2 linked regions of the Drosophila melanogaster genome follow. The protein of the gene in region 1 purifies or fractionates together with the protein of each later gene. This does not show direct contact. Each region holds a gene or a part of one and is shown on either strand. Other genes may lie near its edges.

Region 1 (8,387 bases):
GCTGAACAGTAGTAAAAACCAAATACTGCATTCTAACATTAAGACCAAGCCGAGCGGCATAGCCGCTCTTCTCTATTGCCAGTATCCCTGCAAACTCTTCAATCCTAGATATCATTTTCATATATCAGGTAATCCTTAATTTCTCGTCTCCTCAACAACCTCGACATTATCAAAAAATTCCATAATGAGATTTAAATTACGCCGGCGAGTGCAACTCAATTGAGCGACACTCAAAATCGCCCCACAGTTGAGTGCGACATACCCACATTGAGCGGGGCTCGAAGGTATAAAAGCTGGAGCAGCCCAGACCACAGTCAACAGTTTCCTCCGAGCGAGCATTCAGTCCTCACACAATCTATCACAGAAGCCAAAAAAAATAAGATTCACCATGAAGAACGCTGTTGCTATTCTGCTGTGCGCCCTGCTGGGTCTGGTAAGTGTTGCAAGGAGACAGAAGCCGATGGCAGCCAGTAATCTAAATTCATCCGTTTGCTCCTCGACAGGCCTCTGCCTCCGACTACAAGCTGCGCACCGCCGAGGATCTGCAGAGCGCGCGCAAGGAGTGTGCCGCCAGCAGCAAGGTGACCGAGGCCCTGATCGCCAAGTACAAGACCTTCGACTATCCCGACGATGACATCACCCGCAACTACATCCAGTGCATCTTCGTCAAATTCGACCTGTTCGATGAGGCCAAGGGCTTCAAGGTGGAGAACCTGGTGGCGCAACTGGGCCAGGGCAAGGAGGACAAGGCCGCGCTGAAGGCCGACATCGAGAAGTGCGCCGACAAGAACGAGCAGAAGTCGCCCGCCAACGAATGGGCCTTCCGTGGCTTCAAGTGTTTCCTTGGCAAGAACCTGCCCCTCGTGCAGGCCGCCGTCCAGAAGAACTAGGAGTTCAGCGCAGTTCCACATCAATTCTAGAAGCGAAAGATCAATCAACACGCAAGCAACGCGGCATTTTCGAGTTGAAATCCGCTCAGGCTCTGCAATCCTACGATTGAAATAAAACCATATAATAGTGCTTTTGAATGAAGAATGTTCTTTTTATTATTCACAATATTTCTGAGGGCTGGAAGAGAGGTAGGGCTGCTGGTGGTGGCAGGAATCAAGCTGTTACTCGCATCCTCAATCCCAAAAAACCTTGTCCCGCCCAAAGGAAAGGCATTGATAGCTTATTTAATTCGATTATATTTGTCTTCATCTTTTTCGCTTTAGTAAATTCAACTTCTTTTCTTATCTTCTCTTTACTCTATATATTTTTTTTTTAAATATATAAATTACACACGCACTTTTTATATATTTTGTTGATTTACTTCTTTCCCAAGAGTCTTGTGTTCTTTTGATTTTTTTTTTATATTTTCTTCCTTCTTTATTTGCTTTTGCCATCTTTTAACTTCTTTTATTTGGGGTTTGTGGTTTCTTTTGCGCTTCTTTTATATATACTTATTGTTGTATATACTTTTTTGTTTTTTAAATCAACTTCTTGTTTTTCATAATCTTTTTTTTTTTTTTGATGTTTTATTGAAAATTAAAATGTGTGAAAAGGGGGTGTTTGGTGTTGGGTGCTTCAAAAAACATTATAGCCAAGTCAAGATATTCGTTTTCCTTGTTGATTTTTTATTATTTTCGAGGTCTCTTCTTTTCGCCTGTTTTCTTGCTGCTGATGCATTTTTTATTGAAACGATATTTTTTCTGGCGTTTTCTGTTGCGATTGTTTTCTCTTTTTTATTTAGCAAAGAAGTTTGGCAATAAAATAATGTTTTTTGAAATTATATTGTAAAAAAATCTGAAATCAAATAGTTAATGGATTAAAGACGACAGTCGGTAAATCGAATGGAAGCATTATAATAAAACCCAACACGCTGCGAATGAGAGCAAGGTATTCCCATAAAGGGTTCGGAAAATTATTCTGTTTTTGACCATAAATTTGATTGTTTTTATTTCCCGTAATGATCTACCAGCTATGCAAACTAAATCTATTTAGCTCCATAAAAACAAACGGCATTTTCTAACAACTTAAATTTAACATAAAAAGACGTCCTCATTGGTTTTATAAATTTTAAGAAAAAAAATGTATCAAAATATAAGAGATAGATATCGGATTACTTTATGTAACCGACATAAATCGGACGCAACCCACACATATAAAATTTCAACTATCAATTATTTTCAGTTCGAAATTGTCAACTTACCTTACTAGGGATTTTAATAAAACAATAATCAGTAAGGAGCGTAGTAATTGGCGCGACCACGGTAACCCCTTCTGGAACGAAAGACAGACCGGGATTAGCTCGATCCAATCGGGATTTTCCAGAGCCCACTTACATAGCTCTTCGGGCGCCTCGGAAGGTGGAGTGACAGCACGCCCGGGAGACACGGGCTCCTCGACCCCGGAAGCTGCCGCGTGCGAAACGGTTTGTGGTGGAGAGTCCAGGGCGGTTTGTGCGCTTCGACATTACCTGAAAGTCAATAGATTAAGCTAAAGTCAACTCTAAATATGTGCTTTCAAAATTGCGCTACGTAGGAGTCCCTAGGACTCATTCTATCCACATATGTACATGAGAGTTTGATAGGTAGCAGGACTAGCAAAAAGTGCTTCAGATACTCACCTTTATTTGACGCCCTCGGAAGAGGGTTTCGTTCATGGCCAATGCCGTCTCGACAAACTCCTTGGAACCAAACTCAATGTATGCGAATCCCTTGGGGTGCCCGTCAGCCTTGTTGCAGAGTATGGTTACTCGGTTGATTGTGCCGCATCCGTGGAAGTGGGCCTCCAGTTCCTCGGCCGATGCGCCGTAGTCCACATTGCCCACGTAGACGGACCGCGTGTCGATTTCCTGCTTCTCCTCAAGAGAAAGCGGGACTGTGGCCAAGCCGGTGGTAGACCCACCGGCCATTTGTTTGTCCACCTCCGACTGCATCTGCTTTATCTTCTCGGCCTCCTCTTCCATCTCCTTGACTCGAGCCTTTATGGCCTCCAGTTCCGGGTCGATTTGCATGCTGCCCTCCTCCTGGCGACGAGGAAAATATGAAATTTAGTGGTATTTGATTTGGAGCGATGAGCAAACGCCCGAAACCACAGCAGACAATGGAATGGAGTGGCGGTGCGAAGTGACGCTCTGAAAATGGCAGCCATTGCTGCGGTTTTCGGCTTTGTATATCCCCCAAAGCTTTGCGAGCTTTTCCAGGGAATTCGGCGGGCTTTCGCAAGGCGTGAGGCCAAGAAACTGGTTCTTGGGCACTGTCTACAAGGGCAACCCCAACTCACCTCGACCTCTGTGGCGATCTCAGTCTCTTGCTCCCCGTTCGTCTCCTCCAATGACTCCAGGAGCTGATCCTCGTTCAATGTGATATCTTCATCGGCCATTGCTTTGGATTTGGGTTTGTTTACGTCTGCTACAAAAGCTCGGTTTTGTTGGCGCAAAAGCTTCCGGCGTGGTACTCAAAACGGCAGTTGTCGTAACTATGTATGTATGGTAGCTGTCAATGAGAAAAGGGCGGCGAAAGTGAGCATAAAGAGCGTAAAACATTAAGAGCGCGAATGAAGAGTTCATCATGCAAATGCAGTGAAAATCCAAGCCATAAGTAAATAAATTCAGGCTGCGGACACCGAAATGTCTAGGTTTCACTGCGTTCGCACTACTACACTGATATTTAATTAAACACACTGTACTTACGTTTAATAAATGTACAAATTACGAGCTCGTTCTGCTGACGTTGAGTTCGCCCAAAATGGCTGCCCTGTGAAAACACACGTACGCTGGGTTGCTGGGTTGCTGTTTTTCGTTCAAAAGTCTACGTTTTTAAACCCTTTTCGACTTTGTTTCGCGCCACACCACGTCAGCATAAATATTTATTTATAAGCTTATTTATTTATTATTTACTAATATTTACAACTATACGAAAACGTACGTAGTTTTTGACACAAATTGAAACAGATTTGTGTTCGCCTCGTTTTTACCGATGACAGTTTTCGCCTCGATAGTTTCGATGGTTTGGTGGTGGGTTTACCTATCGATAACTGCCGGTATTTAAGAAAGCAGTTCTTTGGATGATAAAAATAATAGTATTTTCACACCACAATGCCATTTTAAATTTACCATAGGAAGGAAAGAAGAGGAATGTGCACGCACATTTCTAACAAGGTTTTGTAAATGGGAATCAGACAAATTATTGTTTAAGGAAGTCATATATTGCGAAATAACGCCATCATTCAACCATCAATCAGGGCCCATGCATAACGATAAAAGGAGAACATGAACGATTCCTCCGATTCGGAGTACGAGGACACAGAGTACCTGGTATTTGCGGATTTCAAGAACCACATTCATCCGCACCAGCTGAAGCACGAGGACGCGGCCATTAAGATCATCGGAATCGAGAGTGACACGCCCATGGCCGAGGTAAATGGAAGCATTTATCGGGGACGCTACGAACATTCCGTGGGAACCAACGTGTTCTTTGAGAAGGAAAAAGACAATCTGGCAAGTGATCCGCTTTTTGAGTCAGTGTGTCGCCAGCGGTACCAGTACGTGGACAAATCCACCAAGGTGATATCTTTTGAAAGGGTCTACGTGGACAATTTGCACCAGGAGGTGGAGAAGTCGGCTGAGACTGAAGAGGACGATCAGACCGAGCCAAAGCCAGAATCTCTGAAGCTAAATATAACTTACAAGGAGGCTATTAACAAGTTTGGAGAAGATCATTGAGTGTGGAGAACTGAGTCTAATCCTGAACAAAAAACACTCTTTCAAGACATACCTCTTAGTACCATGGATACCACCTATATTACAACGAATCCAGCTTTAAGCCTGCGAGACTTTCTAGCCGACTATCAAAAGAAAATATCCGGTACTGCAGACGAAGTGCCCTTCTTTCTCCAAAAAAACCCAGTACTTGTCGACGTGTCTGAAAGCTGTTCCCTGGACTTGATCGAGTCCCCAGACGACAGCTCGATTGCAGTCTTCCAGCCCGCCGCAGACAAATGCCGCCCAACCTTTTCTCCGCCGCAGGAGAACCAGCATGTGCCCTCCACTTTTACTGCTCTAAGCCAGCACAAGGACAAGTCCCGTAAGTGTCCCTTTGGCCGCACCCAGTACAGCCACAAACTGAATCCGACGCCGACAGACTCGCCTAACCTGCACATCGATGCTTGCGGCGAACTGGAGCTAACCGTGCGTCTATATCGACCACCGCGGGCCTACCATCGCGGGTTTAAGGTGGAGATTCCCGTTTTCGCCGAGGAGTTCGTATGTCTGGGCAGCAATTATCTGACCGAGCTGCGGGACAAGATCAGCTGCGTTTGCAATGGAAAACGGTTTGTCGACATCAGCGACGATCCAGATGCACCGTTGCCATCCATTGACACAAATCCCGGTTACTTCTTCATCAACGACACATTCTACAACGACCAGCGCAATCCGGACAATCCCGACTATTCCAAGACCGTCTTGCAGTGGGCTGCCAGAGCGAACGGAGTGAACGGAGAAACGCTTAAGGTGGAGAGTATGGAGGGCAAAAGATTCATCGATCTCACTGTCAGCCCCGGATCACCGCTACACTACCTGCACCACGGCAATTGCGAACACCTGTTTGTGATCTCCCAGGTAGAGGTGCTAACGCCACTTAGTAAACGGCCAGATCGCAGCCTGTATCCCTATCCTCACGCCTTCAGTACGTTTAATCGCAGGACTTGCTATATGTGCGGCATTCGCAGCTATAGCTTCATCGTGAACCAGTCCCGGCGACAGCTGCACGATCCCTCCTACCTGTGCCGCAGATGTTTTCTCAGCTTCTTTTACGTGGATGGTGTCAAGCTGGGCCAGTTCAAAGCCTATCGCATGTATGACCATGTAGAGCTGGAGGGCGAAGAGGAGGACATTAAACAGCAAAATCTCCCCTCCTGAATATACATATACATTTGTGTGATTTTTTCTTTATTTGCGAGCTCCTTTGACTGCAAGATCGCTCAAGGAGTTGATTGATATTTTGTTCTTGTAAAATATTCATAGATAGATTTAAATAAAATACATACACGTTGCAACAAGAGTAATTGGCATTGAACGTATTCGATTGCCGTAAAGCTGCCTAAATTCCATGCAATCTAGATTAGCAAAAAGTTAGTGTCCAAGTTAGGAATACAAAAATGCAAACAACGTAAATAGTACGATACATCTGGCTTAGAACTTACGTTAATACATATATGCAGTAGTTCAATGTTTAAAAATTTGCTTAAGGATTTGCACACTGTGGTGCAGAGTATAGACTTGACCAGGACCCATATAAAACAAACCAATAGACTAAATATGGCAAATAACATAATACATTATCCTAGACAAGATACTAGTACTAACCGTACTTAGCAGTACAATACAGTAAAATTCTGTGCACTGGGATTCCGGCGTGCACGTGAAGAGAGACTGTGCGCTTAGTTACTGGGGCGTAGAAATGCATCAACAACATATTGCCAATCCGACCAACAAATATCATTACGAACAACTGCAGGCTGGGATTCCATTCGCCCGGACCTCTTTGGTGTACGCGCTTGCGTTTACTTCAGTGTTAAAGCTTTGACCAGCGGCTTCTCGACGGCGGGCGGCGGTTGCCTAACTCTGGAAGACCAGCTCCCGCTCCACCGACAAGTACTCCAGCATCTGCGCCGGCACTGGCAACTGGGCCAGCTGTTCGCGAGACATCTGGCGCTGCAGAACACGGCGGCATAAGTCCTGCAGCTTGGGCATGTTGGAGTACCGGCTCAACGGGTACTTGAGGATCACTGGAAACGGTGGCTGCATCTCGTTGGGAACCTTCACAAAGCACACAAAGTTGTCGTTGGTGCAGCGGTGCAAGATATCTTCGATCATCTCGACAATGGACTCGTACTTAAGTTCCTCGAAGTGCCAAAAATTGTCGCGATATTCCAGTCGATAATGCAGGGTTACGTTCACAATCCGAAAGCTGAGCGTGAATTGGGATCCGCTGGTTTCCGAGTCGCGGACTAGAAACGACCCAGTCGGCTTGTCACTCAACTGCCGCTGCGAATCGCGCCTGGAGATCTCACCCCAGTACCACACTTGGCTAAAAACAAACAAAGGGCATGAGTCATCGATCGTTGATGGACGGAGAAACACGGCGCTTACTTGAGCATCTCGGAGCAGGCCTTGTACATGATCTGGTTGGGCGAGTGGGCGTCCTCGCGCTCAAGCCATTTCTTCCGGATAAAGCGCAAGTAGTCGTGTGTGAATGGTAGCGTGGGTTCCGGACAGATGGCCGGCGTAAGGAACTCGTAGGTGGCATCAGTAGTTCCGCCGTCGTCGCAGTCGCCCATGGAGTGCCAGTTTCGCAGGGAGCTGAGCCCTTGGCCCACCTTCCTTCGTAGTCTGGCAAACACGTTTCGCTTGTCCTTGTCCCGCCTTCTGCGCAGAGTTCCTGTGCCCGTGCCCCCATTGCTGCAGCTGGCCATGGAAGAGTCCGCTGCCTCAAGGACGCACACTTCGTTGTTGTTGTTCTGCGATCCACTGGTGGAGACGGCGGCGGATGCAGTCACGGCCAGCGCCGAGTCGGACTTCTTGCGCCTGGTCAGCGAGTGGAACCAGCCCTTCTTTTCCTTCTCCCTGTCCCTCGGGGAGTCACCACCGCCAGTGAGCGCCTGGCTCCGCTGGCTGCTCTGGTTTTGACTCTGGTCGCCGTGGCTCATTTTGGAGTGGAATCGGATCGGATCGGAGCTTCCTCGTGGTGGAATTACATCATTGATCTAATTCGGAGCCGTGATCAATGCCTAACTTTATTGATAAGAACTATTTGTTTTCGTTGTACACAAGAACTGTCTTATCGCTATCGGTCGTGCGTAGCTGGTAAATGCTATCGATAACATAGGGGAGTTTAAAAAATTAAATTCTCTGCAAGGCAAAGCTTTAATTTATCCATTATTACAGCCCTCTGCTTTAGGCATTTTTAAAACTAACTTAAATTATTTCAAGTAAAATCTCGTTGACTTAAATATATTGTTTTCCATATTGCAATTTTTTAATATTAATGTAGTTTGTCATTCAAATAAGCTTTATTTTTATAAATCGCTACAAAAAATATGACATTAATTTGACAGAAATTTAAACACATCGATTTAACGATAACGAAATCGAACATACTTCCATCTCTAGCACATTTAAAATCATTTTAATCATAAGAAAACTAAGTCAAAAATGCAACACTCCAGCATGAAGGTGGATCTATCAAACTTTTTCAAGGACGAACGACGAAATTCGTTGGTTTTCATCGATGCAGCATGGAACAACATCAAGGACCTCCAGGACCACATACAAAACCTCTTCAGCTTGGCAAGATTTTTAAGAATCTCTAACTGCTAATTCTAAATAAATTGCATTCAAA
Region 2 (9,552 bases), on another chromosome or scaffold:
AATCAGCGTTACCTCGCGGTTCAACATTCTGCAGAAGATACTCGCTGAGTATCCGGAATTTAGGCGAAATCTGGGCGCCCAGGCCCTTATTCGCGACTCCGTACTGTTCAACATGCTGCACGAGCCGGAAGTGGTCCAAAATCTCGTTAAAGATTATCCCCTCATCTGCGAGGCCGCTCCATTCATAGTGGACACCATTCGCAAGGAGCTAGCCAGAAATAGCTCGGCCACGCAGTGTAACTAATGCCGTATCTATTCTTGATTTGTATATTTTACCCGTTTCTTCCTTTTTAGTGCAGGAGCAAGCTGCTTCGGAGTCTACTACTTCGTCAGAGGAGGAAAACTCTCTGGGTGCAGGCAGCAGCAGCAGTGGTGGAAGCAGCAGCACAGCCGTGGCAGCTGCCGCGGCCGCCAATCGGCGTGATGAGATGGCCAACATCCGTCAGATTAGCCGCCAGCAACTGGCTAACGCATTGGCTAACGTGACCCCGTTTAATTCACTGTCGAATATTGCGCAGAGAAACGCGGACGAGGCCGTGCAGGGTGATGAAAGACCTAGAACCACCTCGGCGCCATTAGCAGGCGTTGGAGGAGCAGCGGGAACAGGCGCAGGAAGCAGCAGTGGAGCCATCAGCAGCGGATCCATATCCTCAGAGTTGCTCCGCAACGAGCTGGCCCGCGCTTTTCAGTCCCTGTCGCAGGATCAACCGGCGCCTGTGGAGAACATGGAGGTGGAGTCCGGAGAAGGACCAGTACCAGAGCAAGCCGCCACAGCACCAGCCGATGATGTAGATGACGAGGACGATGGTGGAGACGACAGTGATGTGCTGCCACGCCGCTACCGTCGCCATCGGTTCACCGAACAACTGCGTACCATGGCCGCCATGGGCTTCATTAATCACACTCAGAACGTTAGTTATCTAGAACTTTCCGATGGGAATGTGGAACACGCTATTAATCTGCTTATGCTGAGCATGAATTAATAAGGATCGGAATTGACTAAAAAGCCAACATAATGTGCTTACTTTACGGACTTATATTTATTCTGCTGCTGAGGATTCTGAAGCATTAAACTCCCAACTTAAGCAAGGAATATCTCTTAATAACTTTTAATAATTAAATATACGTTTAGAGGAGTCATCTTTGTAAGCTAATTGGGGTGGGATTGCGGAGTTTGGGCATGGGGGTAAAAGCCGGCCGTACAAAAGGTTTCCACTAAATTATACTAGTTGATTAGATAGTCCAGCGCCTTGTCCTTATTATTGTTGAACTTGAGTAGCGCCGCCGAGATTTTCGATTCGTCAAAACCGAGGTCCAGAAGTTCTCCCAGTGGAATAAGGTGTTCGATAATCTGAAAAGACGTCCCAGATCGGAATAATGCATTTTGCAAAAGTTTTCGAAACTGACTTACCTTCTTATCGTCGATACCGCATAGACTAACCACCTTTGCCACCCGTTCCAGAGGGAAACCCATAGTACTGATACGTTGGGCCAACTTCTGTGCCGGACCAGCCAGCTCCCTAAAGGAGTTTCTGTCCACTGCCAACTCCACCGTTGGCTGCTGCTCCGCGTTGTGACTGTGCAGGCGGGTACGACGCTTCTCCGCCTGCTGCAGCTCCGTCTTCAGCTCCCGCAGGATGTCAGGCACACTCCTTGACTTCGTGGCTACCTCGTCCTCCGACTGGCTGAGCGCATGCACGGAGGAAGGCGCTGGAGGAGCCTTCAAAAGGTTTTGAGTCCCGAATCCATTGACTTGGTAGTTGCTAAACTGTTGGAAAGAATGCTGCTGCGGAGGGTAGAAGGGCTGGTGACTGTAGCCCTGCATGTGGTACACCTGCGAAAATAATAATTAGCCCATATTTTAAATCGGAGCGTCTGAAAAAAACTTATTTTCGATTGAAATAAAATATTGGGTATCGGACTAATACTTGGTTTATAAGACCATGCTAAGATCGTACTCAAGCTCAGTCAAAATATATTACACCCTCAATTGTGGTACTAATTAGTTTGAGCAATAGCCCCACCCTCGACTTGTGATGAGTTATTTATTTTTAGGTAATCTACCTGCAAATGCTCAGAAATCATCCCGATTAAATGGTATACTGTGAGTGAATGAACAATTTCCTCTTTTATTACAATTTAATGAGTAATGAGGATTGGATTTTGAGAATACAAGGATAGTGTGACATTCAAAAGAATCAAGTTAACATATTATTAAGGCTCTTTAACTAGTTAAAAGTGTCCCACCTGAAAGTGTTCCGGTTTATGCAACGGCTGCTGGGCGGAAGCGCTGTACATGGGCGTTAGGTATTGAGCCGTGGTTGGAATGTGGCTTGGCTCGCCCCTGTCCGCATTATCATCACAGTGAACATGGAAATTGACGCTGTCGAGCGTCGCTTTGGTCTCCGCCAGCGTAGTCATTGCTAGCTCCACCGGAGCTGGCACTTCATTGCCAGATTGCTCCTCCTTGGAATGATCCTCATGCGGCGGCTCCTGCTGCTGCTGATCCTGCTGCTGTTGATCTATGCGCTTCTCCAGCTGTGTCTGGTGCAGAACCTGAGCTAGTATGTCTAGATCGTTGATGGTCTTCAGCTCGATATTGTCGAAAGGTGTGGAGTTCATATTGTACTCAAAGTCTGCGTAGTTTAGGGAGCTGTTACGCTTGTGCAGCGTCTGCGGACTGACCACTGGAGTGGTGCTCAGAATGGTGGGCTGCAAGATATTGTGAAAATTACACACACTTATTGACTTTGGTTCGTGGGAAGAGTCGCGTGACTCAGCGGTGATTGGAGGTGGTGGCTGCTGTTGCTGTTCCTCGTCCCTCTGCTCGGGCTCGTTCTTCTTTCGCTCCTTCTCGTCCTCATCCGATGACAAGTCGTCCGCACTAGGATAATCAACTGCTCCAAGCATCTCCTTCTGTCTCGCCTCCAGCGCCCGTTGGCGTTCCTCCTTGCGACGCTCCTGGCGACTGGCTCGCTCCTCGCGCTGCTGGCGACGCAGGTGGCGCCATCGTTGCGCCTGACTCAGCACGGCCCTCTCCAGCTGACAGTCATACTGGTAATCCGGATGATCCGTGTAGAAACCTTCTCGGAATTGCGACAGGCGATTGAGGGTCGCCTGCGGCAGGTGGTACACGGCAGGCGGTGGTTTGTAGCGCTCGACTATCTTGACCGGGACATCTTCCATGTTATGCTAGCGCATTCACCACGAATTTTGTTAATTAAGTTGCTACTACGCGTTTTTTTTTCTCTGTTCTCTTTTGTTGTTTCTCGAGCAGCAGCGATAGGCGATTGGTATTGTCATCGGTCACTGCTGATTCGCCAATTTCGACTAGTGTTGAATATCGTTTTTCCTTGAGATGCTCACCTAATTAGGTGTACTCAGGCTTGGTTGCGAGTTTGACAACAGCTGATATTAAATCTACCCAAATTTTCGCCAATTTGAGGGCGTATGAAAGGCTTAACAAAAATCGGAATACATTAATAGTTTCTACAGATCACGTTATACAACATAAAAAAATTAAAATTACAAAACATTTTGACATACTAAATATTTTTTGTTACCAAGGGTATCATTATTTAGTGCATGGCGGATAGTTTTAAGATCTTTATTCTAAAAAACTATTTTTGACCAAACTTTTGTTTAAAATAATCCCGCGCTTTTACAACTGAGTTTATTGAAATCATGTTCTTTCCACTAGATAAAACCAAAGTTTCTGGGAATAAATAAGGACGAAAAATGGCAGTTATGATATCTATTTTATCTCTATCTATTCTTTAATAGGTCTTAGTCCAATAATACAGCAATTTCCTATGTAATGTTCAATGTTACTTTATTTGCAGGGTATTAATTTGCTTAATGCAGTTCGACCATTGCAACCATTTTATCGATAGTTGATGCCGGGAATAGTTCATCGCTAAAGTCAAAGGCAATGTAAACAAAACAACCTGAGCAATGGACGATGCCGATGATCTGCGCATAAACCAGCAGCAGCTTATGGACGAGATTTCGGCCCTCTTGCAGAACACAGCGAAGCCGAGCGCCGCCAACGCACTGCAGCTGAATCAGGAGCTCCAGCGCCGGCTCATGCAAGTCCGGACCAAAATTCTGGCCATGTTACAAGTAGTAAGGGCCCGCTTCTCTCGGAACGAGGACATCCTGGTGCGCCGGCTGCGACCTCGTTCCCATTTCGGCCCGAATTCCCTCAATCTTAGCGGGGCGATCCTGCGGAAGGGCACGTTTCGCTTCAAGGGCAACCTGTTTTTCCGAGACATCGATGGTCGAAGCTGTCCTAACAACGAGGATTACGAGGCGCGGTGCCACACGGAGATGTTTCCCACCGACTTTGACATGCACTCCAGACATGTATGGACATTGCTAGACAAAAAGAATGTGATAATGGGTATAAAACAACAGGTGAGTGGACCCTTCGAGTGGTTCAGATTGATTGCCAAATACCCATTTAATAGCAATGAAAAGTTAAATAGCAATACTAATATTCTGTTTTATAAAAAACTCAATTCTCAGTTACTGGAGCATAGGGCCCACAGTACGAATGCGCTGCCCAGCGGAAGCCTGAAGCGCAAGCCAATCGAGCGACACTTAAGTACACTGGTAAGTCTGCTGGCAACTGCGGATAGTAGCTTCAGCATCGACTGGAACCAGATCAGCACCCTGGACTTGGAATATCGGCACTCACCATATAGCTGTGAGGCAATGTGGAGGGTCTACTTAACACCAGATCTCAGGCGAGACGATTGGTCACCCGAGGAGGACGAAACTTTACTGGCGGTGGCCACTGCGAACAGGATGCAGAACTGGGAGTTGATAGCCGCGTCGCTAGACCGACGTTCCGACTATCAGTGCTTCGTACGCTTTCATACCGCCCTACGTTTTCTGCTGGAGCCAAAGAACAGCCACCGCTGGAGCGAAGAGGACAACGATAAACTAAGGGCGATCGTTGATAGGAATACGGCAAACAGTGTAATAAACTGGAAAAAAGTCGTGGAATACTTCCCGGACAAGTCCAAATCAACGCTGATTGGTCGTTACTACTACGTGTTGCATCCTAGCATCAGTCACGGTAGGTACCCAATATATTGAATAATTTTTAATTTATTATTTCGCTCCTTTGAAACTGCAGAACCCTTCACTACCAAGGAGGACATGATGCTGTTCGCCGCCGTTGAAGAGTACAATGGAAAGTTTCACTGTTTTCCGCGTTCTCTTTTCCCAAACCGGTCGTTAACCCAACTCCGAACTCGCTACCACAATGTACTGGCACAACGCAACAAGACCGACTCCTGGTCCGTTCAGGACGACACACGGCTGATGAGCTTCGTAACGCAATACGGGGCTTCCCAGTGGCTTAACTGTGCCACGTTCTTGGGCAATCACACGCGGACCAGCTGTCGAACCCGCTTCCTAGTCATCAAGAAATTCCTTGAACAAAATCCCAATGCAAAAGTGGAAGACCTGCCACGCCGCCGATCGAAGAAGGTGTCCTTGGTTAACTCTGATAACTGGGCGCAGCGTTTGCAAGAGTGGCAAGAGGACCCAGAGTCATTAGTTAATGATAACCCCCCGAAAGGAACTCGGGTGCGCGGTCCCAAATCGAAAAAGGCTAGGATCGAGCGACAGGCAGAGAGTTTCTCAAGACTTTCGAAAGTTGATATAGAGTTCTGCAACTTCTTTAAGTTTAGTTATAATCTGACGCTGAGCACTCCAAAAACTTTTCCAGTTCCAAAAGACGTTTATAACCTTGCCTACGTGATCAGAGCTCTTGCATATAAGCCACCAATTCGACCCTCGCTCTTACAAAACATATTTATGCCAAATGATGTGCTTAAGTGCTACAACAGCATGATCCGAAACCTTCCGGACGAGGAAGGTGATATGAAGAGCCCACTTTTGCCACCCAACTGGTCAACTATGATGGGGTTTCGAGCCTTATGCATTCTTTCCGGAGATTGTCGCAAGGATACGGAAACACGTAGCTTCGAATACAATGAATCTTTACCACCCATCCAGCTTTTCCGCAAGCGGTTGCAAGCTCTTTTCTATCGTACCACTCTTCTCAGCCGCTTGGAATCACAACTCTTTACGGACTTACCATCAGCATTAGTTTCTTTACCACGCCCCAAACACGATTATGCAAAAATGGGTACACATGTTGAATTAATCGATCCAGAGCCGGCACCACAGAATGATCTAAAATCCGAGCCGCTTAGCGAGAATGAAGTGATTAATACAGTCAAGCAGGAATTGGAAATGGAATATACAGTTCCATAGGAACTAATAAGTAAATATGTAATATTGATTAATTTAAGCTTTAAAAGTTTATATTTTTTACTTCATATCGCGTTATATAATAGTTCATTACAATGGCTAACAAATAATTTATAAACTTGTAGGTACTTTTAACGTATTTCACATACAGCAAAATCAAATGCCGGACCGATGTGCATTAGGGTGGCTCATTTTTCTGATTGTAGTTTAAAAATATTGCTTAGGTTTGAAAAAAGGTATATTTATAGCAAAACGCCCTGCAAAACGAAACAATTTAATACACAAGCAGTCAAAAAAACTAATGTATATTTTAGTTGCCGTTTTACAATCCTTTCAAAACTTTTATCCCGGATATTTAGTTATTAGAGCAAAATTGTCTAAACCTTATTTTCAATATAAAAAGAACCGATCCATCCTATTGTTCATGCGGTAACAATGTATTACAAAGCATTTTTATGATAGCACTAGCAGCTTGAGAACTATTTTGTTCGATTCCCGGGGGAGGCGCTCATTGGAAGTTACTGAAATCCGTCTTCAGCTTGATCGTAGGCTTCTGCGGCTTGGCCAGCAGGTTCCTCTGCGCCTCGCTTGCTTTTTGGGCAATGTTAATCGACTGCTGTTGGCTGCGAATGGCCGCTTCTAGTTTTTGTCGCAGTTCCGGTGTTTGACCCATCAGGGCCTTAAACTCCTGCGGATATTTCGGACCGATCTTCAGTAGCCACTGCAGCGCCTGGTCGTGCAGCTGCCGTTGATACTTTGGCAGCGTCCGGAGTCGACTGGGTTCCGCTAGGAAGCCAATGAGCACAGGGACCAACAGAGTCAGCATCTGAATATCTGTGAAGTGTGGACAAGGAACAATTAATATTATAATCCTAAGTTTAAGGGCTTGCTAAACGGAACATCAATTCACAGAGATGGACAAGTCGCTTCATCCCGTACTTTTACTTCATACGTGCAACATTTAAAGCGTAATTTTAATTGACAACAAGAACTAGGAACTATGCTATGGATTGGTGCATTGAAAAACATTGAGTGTGCAATAAACGTTGCAATTCATGACTATAAGGCAGTTAAGATAACATAAATAAAAAAACGAATAGAATGTTCATATTTAATGGTAGGAAAATAATTTCATTTCCATTTAGCAGACCGATGAAAAAGGAGTAAATTTACAACGCGTGTGTAAGTGTGAACAGTTATGCCTTATATTTCTGAAACGCTTTTTTGACATGAAACGTGTGAGTTTATGATCGAGCTCTTCTATTTACCTTGTAGCAAGTTCATGTTTCCTAACGTTTTTTTTTAAATATTATTTTTTTTAATGTTTTGTAAATGATTTGTGATTTGATAAAAAGAGAAGACAGAGAAAAGAGCAAATATATAATAACTTATTTCGTTTTCCCTTCCCATCGTGTGAAGTTTAAAATGAATGTACTTAAACCAATACTTTGGCTGCGTTCGAAGATATATTTGAAGAAAACAGATCGATACGACAGAACAGCCTAATTATGTTGGAAAGGGGAGTGTGTTAACTATTAAGGCGGGTAAGGGGGAACTGCTAGAACTATATTCTAAAATGGGGTACTCCTGCACCAAATGAAAGTTATGTCGAATTTTATCCTTTCTAGTCACAATTTAACATTATTCGAAGAAGTCCTTATAATCAATCAATGATCAATTTTTATTAGTTAGCAATCATTTAATTATGATATAGTCGAGTTCCTGGACTATTTAATATCCGTTAGACACGTATGGACACGGCCAAGTAGATTTGCCTTCTGATACTGAAAAAAAATGTATACACTTTATAGGGTCGAAAACGCTTTCTTCCACCTCTTTCATACTTTTCACTATTTTCCATGAATTATAATTCCAAATATATCCCTCCTAAATCCAAAGGTATAATTATTTAATCTAGTTATATAACATAAACAAAAACACGTTCTTAAGGTTAAGTATTCTTTCTCAAACAGGAGTACCCCGAGATTTAAAGAAGGACCAAGCTTAATGATTTTCAAATACAACCAGTTACTTACGGTTCTGCGGCTCCGACAAGTCTATAAGCTGCTCCACGGTAACGATGCTCTCCAGGGTGACCTGTAGCTCCAGTTCGCTTGTGGGCACCTTGCTGGACTCCGCATACAACGATTCGATTATCCTAGGCGCAAGTGCGTGGATGTAGGGTGTTGCCGTCTTCAATTCGGCCCGAGCGAAGATCGATCGCGTGGTCTCGATGCAGCGCAGCTTCACCGAGAGGTTCTCCGACTGCAGGCACTGCCGGAAGTGATTAATGCATGGATATTGCAATGAAGGTGTAGCCACAACGGAGGCGGGAGTATGTAGAATAAAAACAGTGATGGCCAGCAGCATAGTGACCTCGTCGACTTTCCTTTCCTCGTTATCGCCAGCCGTTTTGGTGAGATCCACAATGGTGGCCAGTGCACTTTGCAGTAACTGTTGCCATTCCTCGGTTGTCTCCTCTACTTTAGCCCACTTGTGGACACAAACGGATCGCAAGCACTGCAGGGCAGACTTCACAGCACACGTATTTGCCAAGATAGTACTATCTATGGCCGACTTGTTGGCGATTTCTTTAACGATACTGGTTGTCATATACAGGACGGTGGGCAGGATTGCAAGGGCACCTTTGGGAGTACACAAATCCATCAACTGTTCGACGCACTGCAGTCCGCTGGATACTAGCAGGCCGTTTTCATCGCCGAGCACCGAGAAGAATGACGAGCCAGTGGCCATTTTGGCATAGGCAAAGTCCAGCTGTAAGCCGGAGCCACCAGCTCCCTGCCTCGTGGGATTCATCGTAGGTATTTGGCGAACAAATAGGCAAAGACAAACCTCCAGAACGGCGTAGACATGCGAGCTTCCTGGCTGCATAGAATCATCTTCTCCATGTCGCTCTCCACCCTTTCCGTCCTCAGAATTGGCATTATCGTCCCGTTTTCTTTCTAAGTCTTCCCTAGCAGCGCGGATTGTTTGCTTTAAAATTTCTACGCACAGAAGTTGTACGAGTAATTCATCTCTCGTCAGTATCTGACGATGTAGAACATGACAGAGTTCAATGGTTAAAGCCCGATCCTTGACCAACTGCCTCCTAGCCCAATCAGAATCAAAGATGCTGTGCAGTGAGCGAAGGCAGCTCACAATGTTTCTCGGCCTTTCAGAGCTTCTCATGCTGCAGAGCGCCTCCATGCAGATGCCGAAGATCATATGGAAGCGATCCGCTGACAAAGATCCATGAGTGATCTG

Evidence for each region.
Region 2: the proteins of Pbp49 (region 1) and Pbp95 fractionate together in Drosophila melanogaster (co-fractionation; 4 studies listed by BioGRID, with this or other methods). This does not show direct contact.

What each region holds. Positions count from the first base shown.
Region 1 is NT_033778.4:8,127,013-8,135,399, reverse strand, and holds Pbp49 (PSEA-binding protein 49kD), read left to right. Parts: upstream 1-4,076; 5' UTR 4,077-4,144; exon of another isoform or gene 4,145-4,227; 5' UTR 4,228-4,255; coding exon of another isoform or gene 4,256-4,708; 5' UTR 4,709-4,771; coding exon 4,772-5,905; 3' UTR 5,906-6,046; downstream 6,047-8,387. Other genes in the region: Obp44a (Odorant-binding protein 44a), read left to right, coding at 389-433, 504-890; Pabp2, read right to left, coding at 2,220-2,259, 2,325-2,458, 2,609-3,010, 3,268-3,366; CG42516 (uncharacterized protein), read left to right, coding at 4,256-4,708; Socs44A (suppressor of cytokine signaling at 44A), read right to left, coding at 6,605-7,076, 7,139-7,695; coil (coilin), read left to right, coding at 8,201-8,335.
Region 2 is NT_033777.3:8,009,884-8,019,435, forward strand, and holds Pbp95 (PSEA-binding protein 95kD), read left to right. Parts: upstream 1-3,907; 5' UTR 3,908-3,954; coding exon 3,955-4,416; intron 4,417-4,527; coding exon 4,528-5,083; intron 5,084-5,143; coding exon 5,144-6,291; 3' UTR 6,292-6,727; downstream 6,728-9,552. Other genes in the region: CG3223 (uncharacterized protein), read left to right, coding at 1-236, 295-983; CG10435 (uncharacterized protein), read right to left, coding at 1,226-1,351, 1,412-1,834, 2,248-3,186; CG2747 (uncharacterized protein), read right to left, coding at 6,797-7,122, 7,557-7,577, 8,325-9,552.